2 linked regions of the Caenorhabditis elegans genome follow. The protein of the gene in region 1 interacts with the protein of each later gene in a pairwise test. Each region holds a gene or a part of one and is shown on either strand. Other genes may lie near its edges.

The links. Proteins that work in one complex are often made in the same cells at the same time.
Region 2: the proteins of C14F11.4 (region 1) and lec-3 interact in a two-hybrid assay, tested with the Caenorhabditis elegans proteins (one large-scale study listed by BioGRID).

Annotation. Positions count from the first base shown.
Region 1 is NC_003284.9:6,228,587-6,235,928, forward strand, and holds C14F11.4 (AIP3 domain-containing protein), read right to left. Parts: upstream 4,463-7,342; 5' UTR 4,387-4,462; coding exon 4,324-4,386; intron 4,112-4,323; coding exon 3,989-4,111; intron 3,943-3,988; coding exon 3,874-3,942; intron 3,775-3,873; coding exon 3,670-3,774; intron 3,626-3,669; coding exon 3,482-3,625; intron 3,434-3,481; coding exon 3,341-3,433; intron 3,297-3,340; coding exon 3,166-3,296; intron 3,032-3,165; coding exon 2,742-3,031; intron 2,678-2,741; coding exon 2,541-2,677; 3' UTR 2,320-2,540; downstream 1-2,319. Other genes in the region: lite-1 (High-energy light unresponsive protein 1), read right to left, coding at 1-26, 2,040-2,115; hsp-43 (SHSP domain-containing protein), read right to left, coding at 4,741-4,862, 4,922-5,011, 5,275-5,349, 5,484-5,590, 5,640-6,226, 6,276-6,350, 6,805-6,930.
Region 2 is NC_003280.10:9,988,406-9,995,988, reverse strand, and holds the start of lec-3 (Galectin), read right to left. Parts: upstream 4,830-7,583; coding exon 4,750-4,829; intron 4,627-4,749; exon of another isoform or gene 4,621-4,626; coding exon 4,560-4,620; intron 3,733-4,559; exon of another isoform or gene 3,652-3,732; intron 3,535-3,651; exon of another isoform or gene 3,414-3,534; intron 2,370-3,413; exon of another isoform or gene 2,056-2,369; coding exon of another isoform or gene 2,023-2,055; intron 1,847-2,022; exon of another isoform or gene 1,714-1,846; coding exon 1,625-1,713; intron 1,571-1,624; coding exon 1,483-1,570; intron 1,004-1,482; coding exon of another isoform or gene 967-1,003; exon of another isoform or gene 734-966; intron 370-733; coding exon 238-369; intron 1-237. UniProt on the Caenorhabditis elegans protein: Binds galactose.

The DNA.
Region 1 (7,342 bases):
GATTTTTGCGATCATGGTCTTCTTGGCTAAAAGCTTTGTTGGTGATTTCATTATTATTTATATCAAAATATTTTTAGTCAGAGTAAAGCCCACTCAAGCGGTAAGAAATGTGACTTTTCTGTAGATTTTCGGTGTGATGACTTTAGAAACTGGTGACTTTAGATCTGTGGGCGTGTTGTTTTTATAATCTCAAATGGGAAGTGGAAATTTCGAAATTTTGGTAGAAACAGACTTTGTTTTTAATTGCAGCTTATTTTAAGTCTTGTTGTACCTAGACGAAACGTAATGGTCAAGTGAAAATAAAGAAAAAAGAACAACTTTGTCATCTTTTCGCTTGAAAAAGTAGTGCAACAATTCAAATTACATGGAAATACTAAAAAATAGGACGGATTTGGTTTGGTTTGTGGTGTAGCATGAGAAAATGTACCGAAATAAATCTACTTCAAGTTGACTTATTGGGTTTTCGAATAGAAACATTTATTAGATTTTTTGATAAAAACCCGATACGGCATGGCACAAAATGACTAGAATAAAATGAGCCGCGCCAACTTTTAATTAAATACTCGTGATTGTTTTTTCGTTCAAGTTAGATTTGATTTGCAGAAGATAAATCAAAAAAGGCAGGTGGTTTTTAATGGAATTTCAGAGGCGAAAACAGGTACGCCCGTTCAAAGCAACCAAAAAGTCAAGTTTTCACACATTAACACAATTAAACAACAATTTTGAAATTGAAGGGGCCGATACCAACAAGAAATACATTTTGGAAACTTCTTGAAAAATGTCGAAAAAACTTAAAAGTGTAGTCAGTCATATTAGATAATACGGATTTGGAAGGAAACTACAAAAAAAACTTTAGGAAGTACGAAAAAAGTTGATTCAAAATTGCAAAAAAACACAAAAAGGACTGTCTCTAAGACTTTAAAAAATTTTTAAGTAAATTATCAAAAAAGCTAACTGCAAGGAATATCTAAAAATAAGTTCCGCATTGTCCTGGTCTTTTGTGTTTATCAATAAAATGTTCATGTATTTTCTGTAGACGTTTTGTAAACTTCTTTTATATAATAACTTTTATGACTGAATATCACTGTTTAAAACGTAGTTTCTAAAGTTTCAGCACATGTAAACGCAAAAAGCAACGCAAAATAATATAAAAAAAACACACACACAAATAGCGAGGTCAAATGCTTTACTTCTTGAAAAACATCTAACATACCCCTCATTCAAAAGCTTTGAAAAATTCACTTTGCAAATTCACTTCGCAGGTGCAAAAGTTTTATAACTTTTGTGCACCGATAGACTGCATGTGAACATAATACAAGAAACACTTCTACGTTTTTTTGTAATAAAAAAATTATCCCGTGTGTTTGCAAGTTCAAAGAGACCATCTAAGTTGTGGAAAAAATTGAGAAAACGACAGCCTTGTTAAAACGTGAAAATGAATGACTTGATGATTTTGTGTCAAAATTATTATCAGTTTCTTTTCAGACATAACAAAAAATTAAGATTGTGTTTTCTGAGATTTACATTTATCTTGCATTCAAACTTTTATCAAACCAAAAATTTGGAGTGTCACAAACTTCCACTGGACTGTATAATTGTCAATCGTGAAACTTACATGATCGTTTAGATAAATACATTTTGAGCTAAGCAGTACGCAGTAAATTATTTAAATGAAACTCGTGACAGATAATAGTCCTATTTTGAAACAATTGAAAATCTCGAGACACATCGAAATTGAAGAGGATGACACTTTTTAAGAGGAATGTATCAGGTTTCGTCATTCTTGATTGGAAGTGTTTTTCACGTTAATGTTGTCTGCGATTTTTTATTTTAAAACTCACATTCGGAACTGTTCCTACTTATGGTACTACCAGAATACATCAGAGCGTTATATTGGCAAACTATTATGAAACAAGTGATTTCAGGAAAACAAAATAATGAAATTCAACACTGTTCCAATATTGCATGGCCGAGGAACATATTATACTTCAAGAAGTATGTCTATAACTCTGTAGCCAAGGGGCACATTTATGACCTACCATTTGCCATTGTTTCTTTAACGGTGTGCTTGAACGTCGAATGAAAAATGTTTGAATGTGATGATGGTGGTGGCATGTTGTTTTTTACGAGAATTGACAATGAGTTGTCTTCTTGTGACTTTTTTTCGAAAGAAACGCTTTCTAGAATGATGACCTCAATGTTTGCACCGCCTTTTCTTCCGAAAGGTCCCGCCAGTCTCAAACTGATTCTGCTCCCGAATTTTCCAATTTTGTGAGCAAAGTTCACTCTGACTCGACCCTTGTTTTTTGGTGCGCCCTATTTCATTTAACGCGTCGTTTGATTTTCTTCATTAGCTTTAAAATTAGAATTCAATATTACGGTAGCTATGCAATGATGACAATTCATGTGTATAATGTGAAGCTAGCATGCGTCAATATATAGTTGTGACGACAAAAAATAAAGTTATCGGAGGTTAGAAAAATTGATTGAAATACCCCATATCCCAAAGCATTTGCAAAAAACAATCATTATTTAATATCCTAATATTTCTGCGTTAGCAAAATGTTAGCTGGTTGAGAATCACGACGTCCGTTGATGGGTAGAGGAGCGATGTAACTGCCAGAAGATGATGTTTCGATGGCCAATTCGTCGAGCTTTTGAGAAGTGTGAATTTCATCTGGAAATGGTTTAAATAAATTATTCTAAACTCTTTAACTAAATTTAAAAAAATTCAAACTTACTCATAGTTTCAATACTTTTTGTTCTTTCCAAAACTTCTAACACCGGACTTCTTGGTGGCTTTGGTGAAGCATTTTTTGCGAGAGGCTTTCTTTTGGCACTGTCCAATGTTGTGATAGTTGCAGATGATGTGACCGTGCTTGCCGATTTGTGAGATGACGAACGCTCAGTTTTTGGGCGAGTCGATGCGTAGCTAGCTTCACTTGGGGTTTTCGGTGGTGGAGAACGACGAGTTGGCATGACAAGGTTGGCTTTCAAGTTTGAACTTTTTGACGATGAGCGGGAAACACTACTAAAAACATTTTGTGTCATGGTGGTGATCAGAGGTATGCGACATATGGATTTTGGAATTTAAATAAAATCAACTTTTTTATAGATAAGGAGTTACCTATATGTACATATAAATGCATATATTCAATCATTTACCTCATCTTTTCCGCAGCTGAACCGGGTCTTGAGCCAATAGCAGATGCCGGACGAGAGCTATGAGTCAGAAGCTGCATTAGATGGTCTACCTGGAGTTGAATGCCATGCTGGTTGCGAAGATATCCATCAAGCTGGAAACAAGTTTTATGGTTGGGTTCTATATGATTTGGCATACTTTATCTTCCAGGTGAATGTAATTTCCGTCACTCAGTTGCTTGATATTCCCAATTTTCTCTTCCATATCTCTTCTGGTCTCATTGATGACTTTCTGAAAAAAAGTTTTTTTTTGAAGATTTCCTTTTAACATCTTTCATACCAAAAGTTCATCGATGTCTTCTCCTGCAATGTTGCTCGAAACTAGCTTCACTCTTAAACCCTCTTGTATTTGGGCCAATTCGTGAACTTTATTTGTCAATAATGAAATTTCATTTTGGAGAGGCGCAACAAACTGAGTTTTACCCTAAAACATCTGGTATTCTGGTTTGTTTTCCAATGTATGTTTACAGTTAACTCAGCCTCCAATTTGTCGAGCCTATCGCAAATATCCTTGTATTGACGTGTTTGCTCCTGGCGTGCGACGTCAATGATTGGAGGCTCTTGGGAAGTTTTCTGAATGAAAAGTTTCAAAAAAAGAAGAAAGAAAGAATAAAAAGTAAGCATTTCGGACGGTTTAGTGCAAGAACAATACAACTGTGTTTGTGCACATACCTTGGTCGATGGGCTCCGAAGAATTTCAATAATACGATCCAACTTTTTGTTGATTTTTGAGAGTTGGTACTGAAACAAAAATGTTGAAACAAATTTTTTGCAGAGTAATGCTCACCTCAGCTTCCACGTCAGAGTGATAGTTGTGACTTACAACCAAATTTTGCGGACGTTCTGGTTTTGGAGCTCTTGGAGGATATGATGTAGGGTTTCTCACGATATTGTCGAAACGTTCATTATGCTACAAATAAAAATTGTTTCTGGTACTTTGAATAACTGGAGTTTTAGAATTTTCGTCAAAATTTAATTTTTGCAATCAATTATCAAAAAGTTATTATTCTAAATTGCATTTTAAATATATATATATATATATATATATATATATCTGAAAATTATCGTTGTTTTTAATTCGATTTTAATAATAACTTCTTTAGTTTTTAAGACTAAACTCACATCATCAATAAAACGCCGGTAGATGATTTCTTTTTTGGTGACCAGCGGTGGATAACGGGACATGATCGATAGAAAAGAAGCGTCGAATGGATTGTATTATCAAAGTGAGAAATGATTGTATTTTGTTGTTTTTTTTTGTGGCTCCATCATTTTTCTTTTCATCTTTTCTATATCATCATATTTTTCTCACCTCAAGTTCTAGATTTGAAACCAACAAAATCGTACTAAAAATTAGTAAACAAAAAGCATAAATGTTTATGTATAATAGTAGGTGTACATTTGAAAGTGGAAAAGCTGTGAATAGAGTATATGGAAGCATCAGAAAATATATTGTTTTGTTTTAAAAGCTGTAGGCAGAATTTTGTGAAGTTTTGAAGGAGAACGGGTATGAGTAAAAGCATAAGGTTTTTGGTCCAATTAATATGTCTTGCGGAGAATTTGAATTGATCGGTACTCGCGTTGAGTTGAGTTTGGTGAGTCCGAGTTTCCATTACGAAGAATTCCAGTTGTAGTGCTCACTGGTGACTCGACCCGGTATCCTGAAAAATTTTACCACTTCAGTTGATTGAAGAACCCTCAATGTATAGCGAAAACTCACCTCCATTGCGACTTTCTGAGCGATGAGACTGAGCGCGAGAGCTTGAACGCTCCTCGTGAAGATTTGCATTTCCAGCAGTATTATATGACCCTAAAATTCCAATTTTAAAACTTTCGAATTTTCAAAATCCAAGTTTTCAACAAATAATGTGTCATTAACGATCATTTTTGACCAAAGGCGCAACATGTTAATGTTGTAGTTAATTTGTGATTGATGAGAAAATCCAAAGTATTGTCAGTAAACTGTTGGAAGTTTACTCTAATTGTGATGAGGGAAGTGGGAAGTAATTCGTGTGAAATGTGTGTAAATTAACTAAAAAAGAGAAACGCGATGTGCGAAATTGCAAAAATGACCTCGCTCAAAATTGTTTCGAATGGTTTCGAACGCTTTTCGACCCGGCGACCGCTGTTCCGGTGTTACTGTCCGCTCTGAAGGTAATTATGGGATCTAGATAGAAAAGAGAAATAGAAAGAAAAATGAAATGTGGAAAGAGAACACGACAGAAAGCAGTGTTTTGGAAAGTTGGAAAATTTGAATTAACTATGTATTTTCAAAAACTTACCACTTGTTGTGATACGAGGAGTGACTGGGCTATATGTTCGGTTGTCATTTCTAGTGATGTTAACATCATTTGGGGAGAGACGATTGCGAGAGTCGCTGCGGTGGTAGCTGAAAATTTTTATTTTCAGATACTCACTATCATTATCTGTAGGATTACCTGTAAGAATGAGAAGAATACACGTCTCTCGATCCTGGACTATCATTCAATCGCGATCCACTTCTGCTAGACACGCTCCTCCCGTCGTGCTCAGTCTGGACATGAATTGGCGAGTTTGGTCCTCGTTGCGAACGGAGTGTTCCATTTTCAAATCTTGGTGAATGGTGCCCGGCTCCTTCGATTGGGATCATACGCTCGCGACCTTGCAATGCCATGTTGTTGAATTTTCCAGCCTCAACTTGAAGACGTCCTTTGGCATCAATACTACTTTGAATCGAGTTGAAGTCTACGTCTCTTGGAAGTTGGTACTTTCTGACAAAGTACATTTTGGTGAAGTTATCTTTATCACGAATATCCTCATGTCTTCCCTCAATCATCAGAGTATCATCAAGAGTTTTCACTTGAATTTCTTCAGGACGGAATTGATAGCAATCCATGTCAACGGCAAATCTACGATCATCATTAACCACATTGGAGTTTACGTCAATTCCCTCCTTGAAGATTGGCTCAGCCCATCTTGGGTAGAGATTCATCCAGTATGGATCACTCCTCCAGTTGCGATCCATGCGATCAAGTTGACTGGAAAACTGCAAAAAAGTTTCGATGTGTTTCTGTTCATGCGATTTGAATTATTACTCTTGGCATGACGGCGTCCATACGGGGCCAATCGGTTGGCCAATCCTTCCACCAACTGTCGACGTCACGGGAGAACTGAAATGCAAAAAAAAAAATGATTCACAAAATATTCTGATTCATCGATGGAGAAATTGGCTGCCGATTTCCTCTCTTTTCACTTTTTTTTCAAATGATAAAAAAAACAAAATGTTTGTTCAGATTGAAAAGGAGAGAGCATTCGAATTTGAGGAAAATTTAGGGGAAACTGGTGAAAACTGCCAAATTTCAGTTGGCATGGAACAAATAAACCAAGAAGGGGAAAGCAGTGAGATTTGACTCTCTTAATGGTGTATATGTACGTAAATTCGAGTAGGGCTGTCAAGTAGACCAACGACGACGACCGGATTTGAACAGTAAAACGCCTGGCAAAATATAATAGTAGCCAGAGTGAAGAGCGTGTAGAGGTAGGTCGCGGATGAATAGCCCCCTATGCCTATTTCTAACAATTGACTATCGGAAACTAATAAGCCGCCCCCAATGAATTGGATACCCGGTGGAAAAAGTCCCTTGGTTTTGGCCAATCAAGAGGCCAATCACGGAAATCGTCGAGCCACAGGTCGTTCTCTTTCCAGAGTTTGTCACGAGTGAAATCGGCATGACGGGTTGCAAGAGTCATTTTTTGAACTGGGGGTGTGGTACTTCTGTAAAATAATAATTGTTATTCCGGTTATGGGGAACGGCAGCAATGAAACGATGAAGTACAAAAACACACAGTTTAACATAAAACCTAATAACTATTAACCTTTGTTCCAAAACACAATGTCACACAATGTGCGCTATCATAGTTTTAATTTTTAATGGAAGTTAAGAATCGGTGAACAAAAAGTGAAAACCTCTAAAAGCCGGAACACAAATCTTGCAAGCTTTTATAAGTTCTGTCTTGCATGGAAAGGTTGGAGAGTTTTGGGCGTGGTTTTAACCGCTCTCACCTTCGTCTCGAATCTTCGCCGACCCCACCGACGACTTTTTTGGTAAATACCACGTGAACAGAGTTAGAATGCGAAAAGAGGGGCGCAATCAAAAGGAGG
Region 2 (7,583 bases), on another chromosome or scaffold:
CTCCCCCAGTTTCAATAGAAAAGAGAAAAATCGTTTTTCGTCCCAACCTCCTTCAATGCTTTTGCTCATTTTGAGTGAGCTCTCGAGGAATGAGTTCACGGAGGCTTCAGTCCCTCTAGGGGAAGACTAACACTTTTCTGACGTTTGATGTTGATGCCCTGTCAAAAAGTTTTTAACTTTTTAACCCGCATGCACTTGACCAAACACGTCCAGAATAAAATGATCAAGAGTACTCACGTGGTTAATGGACACTTGGAACTTGGAATCGTGAGCCCGAATGCGGATATCGAAATCGTCGCCCTTCTTGATAGGATTCTTGGCGCGTTCTTCTTTTCCCCATGTTCCCTTGGTGTATGCGTTGTAGACGATCTGCAAAAAATTGTTTAGAGTCTAGAATGGAAAGTCACTTTCTTGTCGGTGTTCATTTTTTTACAGCCACCTGTTTCTTGTTGTTTGTGGTAGGCTTTACGAAATCGCATTCTAAAGTAAATTGAGCTTAATTTTTAATTTCAGAAATTAAAATAGAAATGTCTTAAATTATCCTGAAATTCATCAATTTTAGCGAAAATGAATAAATCTTCATTTTAATTTAAAACTTATCGACTTGATCCGAAAATATGAACTTATAGACTTTCGACAAAAGTTTTCAGTTTTTGAACTATTTCAATCGCGCGTGGTCTTCTTGTTTTTTCCCAGGTAGTATTCGTTTTATTGCGGATATCACGAGTTTTTTGGTCTATCAATTTTATTATGAGTATAATAAGATTCTACCATTTTCTTAACCTCTTAATTTTGTGTCGACCGAAGCCACTCCAGATAATCGATTTTTAAAATTTTATAACCAAATTGATCTATACATTTAAAAAAACAAGTTCGGTGGAAATGATGCATGCACAAAAAATACACATATATTCTAGGGTGTATCAGAAAGGGGGAGTTGTGAACATTCAAAACCTACACTTGATCTCAGCGTTTTTTCTCGCTGCCACTTTTCGAATATGATCTGGAAACGGAGTGAGTGTGTGTGTGTGTGTGTGGGATCACCTGACACAGATTCACTGTCTATTTGAGTGAGTGAAGGGCAAGGCAATGAGCACGGATCAATCATTTTCTCGGCTCACCACCATCATCCCTCACACATGCCGAAAGGGTAAACATCATCAAAAAGAAATCAAGAAAAAGAAGCTTGAAGGAAGTAAGAAGAAACGGGAAAATGTGAAGCCAAAAGCAAGCCAATTTCCTGATGTCTGAAAGCTAGAGCTTCTGGGTCCCATTGGGCTCCCTCTATTCATGTCACCCCGGTTAAACCCATTATGTGGATGGAGAAGATGGAAAGAAGCGCCAATTTTTTATAGCTCATACGCTTGATCGAGCCTTATGTATATCTCGGGCGGAAACTTTGTTTTTTCTGTGTGTTTATGTATGTGTTTTAATGGTTTTAGTTCCTATAATAGTCAGAAGCTCGAACATCAAATGACCTACCTTTCCCTCGTCGAAACGGATGGAAAGATGAAGAGGCACGTCGTTGCCGGAGAAATCTGGAGAATCCTTGTGGAGATTAATGTTGAACCTGCAAGTTTCTTCGGGTTAGAATTCGAATGAATATTGTCAAAATCTCGATTACCTCTTGGACTCATCGATAGTCTTTCCACGAATGATCAGAGTTTGTCCGGGCTCGATGCGCTCGGTGAGCTTGGAACGGTATGGGATGTTCTGAAATAATACGAAATATTAACTTGAGTTGTTGGAATTTGTTTTTGAGCTATTCCCGAAATTCTCGGTTTCACAAAAAACATCGGGAGCCACTCAAAAACTTGATGGTTAGATTGGACATCACTGGTTGAAATTTAAACTGAAAAACTGAAAAAAAGAGAAACTGAAACTGACTGAACTGACACAAAACTGGACAAACTAGAACTAAAGTTCACTGCAAGAAAAAGCACTGCACAGAATTTCAGATTTTCACGGTCCTACAAGAAGACGATGAAAATCTGCACCCAGAACCCCCAATAAAAGTCCTACGATATATTTGGCACAGTGCCAAACCGACGGCATATCATCTCCAATCGTTTCGTAGCAAGTTCCCAGTGGGTAGCACGATGAGGTGCTCGTCGAGCAAGAGCTGGATGTCGAGCAACTCGGCAGACACGGCGGCTGCTCTTTTTGGTTCTTTTTCTGATATTGCTGAAGCCACGTTTTGGGACTCAGTTGACCATGGTCACCAAGTCCCAAATTAAGATTCTTGATCGACAACAGTTTGGCGGATTAGACGAAGGGAGCTTCGGGTAGAAGATAGAACAAGTGGGGGTGACAAAGTGAAGCAGCAACTAGGCTTCAAGAGTAGATGCTGGGGCGGGCGGTGGCTCAACGAAGGGAAGGGAGCCACCAAAATGTGGGCGTGGCCTATTTCTCAAGGGGAAGAGGCTACTATTGTTTTGACACTTGGCCACTTGCCAGCTGGATTGAAGTTGGAAAACGAAAGAAAAATACACATAAAGTGTGATGTGACTTTTTGTTGAAAAAAACGTTTTTTGGAAAGTTGAGTTGAGAGTAAAGTTCTCATGTCAACTTTCATGAATCTTGGCAGAATACAGCTATACGTCACTATTTGTGGCGCAAAGTTCAAAAGTTTAAATCAGCTACCAACTAGGTTCAAAATGTTCATGGCGTTAGAGCAAGATAGAAGAAAGTTATGTAAGTTGTTCATAAATTATATTATCCAGTTGTGTAACAATCCGATTTTTTGAGGCAAAATAACGGTAAATGGTCTCGACGCGATCGAAAAATTTTCACTTGCGCATTTAAAGAGTTCGTTCCGCAATTTTTATCGACTTTGCTCTTAAAATTTGGCAGTTAAGGAGAAAATAGCATTAAGAACAGGAAGCCGAAACTATTAAACTTTTAATGACGCATATTCCATTGCTCAGAAAATTTTCAGTCGTGTCGAGGCGTAATTTTTGACCAAAAATGAAATTGTTTCGCAACTTGGTAATAGGCAGTTGCTAACAATCATGGGGTTCGTTTGTGATTATTAATAATAGTTCAAAAACTGTTTCCAGATTTCCAAATGCCCGCTGCAAAAACCTAGTTCATGCTCATGGGCTAATAAATATAAAATTATTCAATTCCAACAAATTCTCACTTTTTCTTGTTGCCAATAGAGCGCAGATTCTGCCACCCACAATGAAAAACTGACACTAATCTTGAAATAGGAGAAAATAAACAAAAAGAAGAGGGGGAAATCCTCCTTGTCTTTTCTTTTCCTGCTCAATTTTTCTCTGCCTGATATTGGATTACACCCGGAATTTCCGTTTCGCATCTGATTTTGACTTTGTTGCAACAAGTTGCACACACACACACCGGATTAAAGCCTAAAGTTTCCCGGAGCACAGAGCATAAAACAATTTGTCTACGTCAAATAAATTTTTGGAGAAAAAGAAAAATGAGCATGAATCAAAGGGTAAACTAACAAAAGGGGGAGTGAGAAATCTAAGCGAGTAAGAGAGCAAAAGGACATAAAATGTTTATGGAAATAAGGGGAGGCGGATGTGTATGTCTATCTGTGTCAGTTTTGGCTTCAGTTAAAAAAAGAAAAGTTGAAGCAAAAATATTTGAATTAATTTGAATTTCCACCGACTCAATTGTACTTTTTCTGCAAAAGAGGGGGAAGATTGTGCTAACGGTTCGTGCACATAAAGGCTTTTAGATTTATGACGTGGTTCCTATGAGCCCCGGGTCACATAACCTAACAAGAGGAGGATAAGCTCCTATGGGAGCTCGGCTCGAACTAAAAATAGCAACTTGAACTGGGAAGTGGATATTTTGAGAAAAAAAAGTTTAAAATGAAGTGAAGATTTGTTTGAAAGTGGAGAATATTAGAATGTATGGAGGGTGTAAACATCGCATAGCATGTTTTTTTTTCCAATTACAGTTCATATTCTATTTGCAGCTTTTTGTTCTACTTTGACAGCGAAATAAGTATTCCAGCACAAAACAAACTTTGAAGCTCATATATCTCCCTAAAAATATCACTGAAATTTTTATAATTTCACAATCAGACAAAAAAAAACATGTTTTCAATTTACAATGTGTTCTTTGTAACTTCTTTACAATTCATAAGCTAGCTGAAATTTCTTCTTATTACTCCCATTCTTTCTATTTACATAATTTCCAGAAATGCTTCAAGCGTACATTTTCAGACCAAGCTTTCTCCACTTATGAAAATTCAATCTTTGATGTCCTTTTTACCACCACCCCCACACTAAATTACAATTGTCTCTTGTTCGAGCACATAAAAAGCTCCATCGTGCTTCTTCAAGATTCAAACCTCAATTTTATGGTTCACCAAGTCGGCTATTTGTGTTAATAAGGGGGTGGCATTTCCGAGAAGACTGTAATGGGGTAGAACAGAACAACACGCAATGTTTTTTGTGTTAGAATTTCCAAATTAGGAGGAAACTGTCATTTTTGAAACTCAAAAATGAAACAAAAAACAGAATCACATGCACACAAAAAAAACAAAAACCGGAAAGATTGCATGATCGAAAAAAAAAACTTACGAAGGATTTCGGCTCGGCCATGATGATCTCTCGAAGATAAACGGGGAGTCGAACGGTGGTCCTGAAAAAATTGGGAATTGAAATATTTTATGATATTTTTCATAGCTGTTAAGGAAAGTGAGAAGTTGTACAGAAGTTGGAAAATTACATAATTATTTGCTCTAAAAAATTTTCGTTTGTACCAACATACCCATGACCTCTCTTTTTCTTTACAGTACCATTAGTAGTAGGTTCTGTAACTGCTAGACTTTTCGATCTTCGTCGAAACATTTTTATAGGAGAGAATAGTTCAAATTTGGCGATGTTCTCCCCTATGTGAGATGTACAATATTTGTGTTGGTTTTGAAGAAGAGGTTATGGCTACGCTGGTATCAAAACTATATTTGAACATCATAAACGTTTTCGAAAGAGTTTCGAGAACTAAAAGGAAGATTAAACAATCCGAGGTTTTGTGTGAAGAAAAATAGTATATATTTGATTGAATTGTTACAGAGAATGGAAGGAAGAAAGAATGTGATAGATTGTAGAAAAAGAATAGGCGGGAAATAAAAGTGTGAGTCATGGAATTATGGGAATGAATTCCCGTGGATCGTTTTGGATGCAGGGAAAATTATAAATGATTTGATTTGGTTGGTTGCGAGAAATGTTATAAAATTATACCAGTTGTTGGAATCTGAATTTTTCATGCAAAAAATGATTTTGGAAGTTGTCAATTTGTCAGAAAGCGGCTGAACCGTAGCTCGAACTATTTTCGATTAGTTTTAAGGTTTTAAAACAGGGATAAAGTGTTATCAAGACTATTACTTCTGAGAATCTGTATGACTTGGAGTTTTACGAGAAATCCTTATTGGGAAAATTTGACAAAGTGGGCATAAAGATTGAGCTTCTAAATTAATCAAGTGAAACAAACTACAAAAAAAAACAAAAATATATAAAATTGAACAACCAAAACTCACATAATTCCAACTAAATTCAAGTTAACACCGACAAGAGTCGAAATATCAGAAACAACACAAGAAATAAAAATCAATCAAAACTGATAAATTGTGAGGTTAACAGGTGGCGAGGGGTTTTTCCCACTGCTGCTGATCTTTTTTATTTACTTCCCGCACGTTTCATTTTTTTGAACTCAGAGACAAAAATTATTGGGTGTGGAAAATGAGATACGCAGGAGGGATAAGGAGAGAGTTGGACAAATAATTATATGTCATTAGATTTTGAAATTAATTTGGATTTCGAAAGTGATTTGGAAAACCTACGTTTTTTTTAGGCAGAGTTAGTATGCTCACGCTAGTAGAAGTGCTTGCTGGAACCATGGTTTACAGTTTAAAAGAAGTGAAAAAATTTCAAAAAGTTTTTACTTTAAACAAAAACGCAATCATCCAGATTGCCGCAAAAAATACAATGTACAGCTTTTTTTACACAAACAATTTTTTCAGAAAAATCCAGATGCAAATTTGCAAGAGAACTGTAAAAACTGCACATTTCAGTCACTATTTATACCAACTGTATACATATAGTTGGTGAGAAGAAAAGAGAAAGACAAAAAATATATATACAACATAATGTATCTTCTCACTTTTTTTGCAATTTCTTTCCTAGCTACTACTCCACCTCTTCCTCCTACTCTTCTATCCTTGCTCTCCGATCACTCATTTGCCTCTTTTTCATGCTTTTCTTTTCCATCACTCAAAAATTTCAAAAAAAAAAACGTTAACGAAGAACATATGACTCAATTGAGGTCTTGGATAGTGAGTGAGAAAAGATATCCGATATGTTGCAGTTGTCGTTTTTTTTTTTCTTTTAGGTTTTAATTTCTAAAGGAAAAAACTCTTACGTTTTTCACATTTTTCGATGTTTCTGAATTTTAAAAACTAGAGTGTGATAGTAGAATTTCAGCGGGAAGGTTGAAAATGAACAATAGAAAAGAAAAATAATTGAATGTGATTAACAGAAAAAGAAAGAAAAATACATAAAAACCAAGTATAAGCATTTTGAGACAATGACTCACTACAACTTATTTATTATTTTCTATTCCAATATTTTGAAATTTAGTAGATTTTTTTTTCCGAATTTTAAAATAAACAACAATCAGGGATCGACTTTTGCTATTTGGCCTCGAAAAAAACTCGGTCATCGATTTATATTTGATATTTTATTCTTAAACTTGAAGATCTTTCAAAATTTTAAAAATTTTGGCCGAGCCGATTCAAGGAAGGAGTCTATCTAATTGGCATTTTGCCAAATTTGAAAAAAAAAACGGTGAAAATTTCCAACGGTTTCAATTCAGTAAAATCTAGAAATTTGGAACTGAATCTAAAAAATTCAAAATCCTGTTTCTGGAAATTGAGGTGACGTTGAGAAGTTAAAATTACTAAAAAATTCGCACAGTCGTAAAATGACAAAGAAAACGGAACACACTCAACATGTTCAGTGTCATCGGTTTCTTGAAAAAAGCCTAGCAGTATAAGTGTCACTTTTGCCAACTATTTCCAACATTTCAAAAAGCAGAAGAAGCAGAAAAGCTCATAAAATTCCGACGAAAACTCGCTTCAGAACGACAAAATAGGCCCCCCATGTTTCACATAAATATTTTCAGGGCGTTTCGTGCCTGAAAACCGGTTTTTTCGATTTTTCGGGGCCGGTGGCATTGGTGGTCGCCGACGTAACTATTTTATCAGTTTTTGTGTAAAGGGGTACTTAGATTGTAGGTACTTATATTGGTTGATTTTCTTGATTGAAAGTGGCATTTTCTATTTTACTTTCAAACTGCAAGAGACCACACAAAAAAATAGGGAAATCGCAGAGAATGAGCTAGAATTCCATACGGCAATCCATGTAAAATTGAGGCAATGCAAATTTTCATATACGTTTCGACGCGTTGGCACTCAATTGAAATGATGAAAAAGTGGAGAGATGAGAGAGAATCCGGAAGAGAGAAATGAAAACATCAACAATAATAAATAATGATGAGGGTGGAGGATTACGCAGATTTGTAAGCGCAAATCATGAAAAATAAAAGTT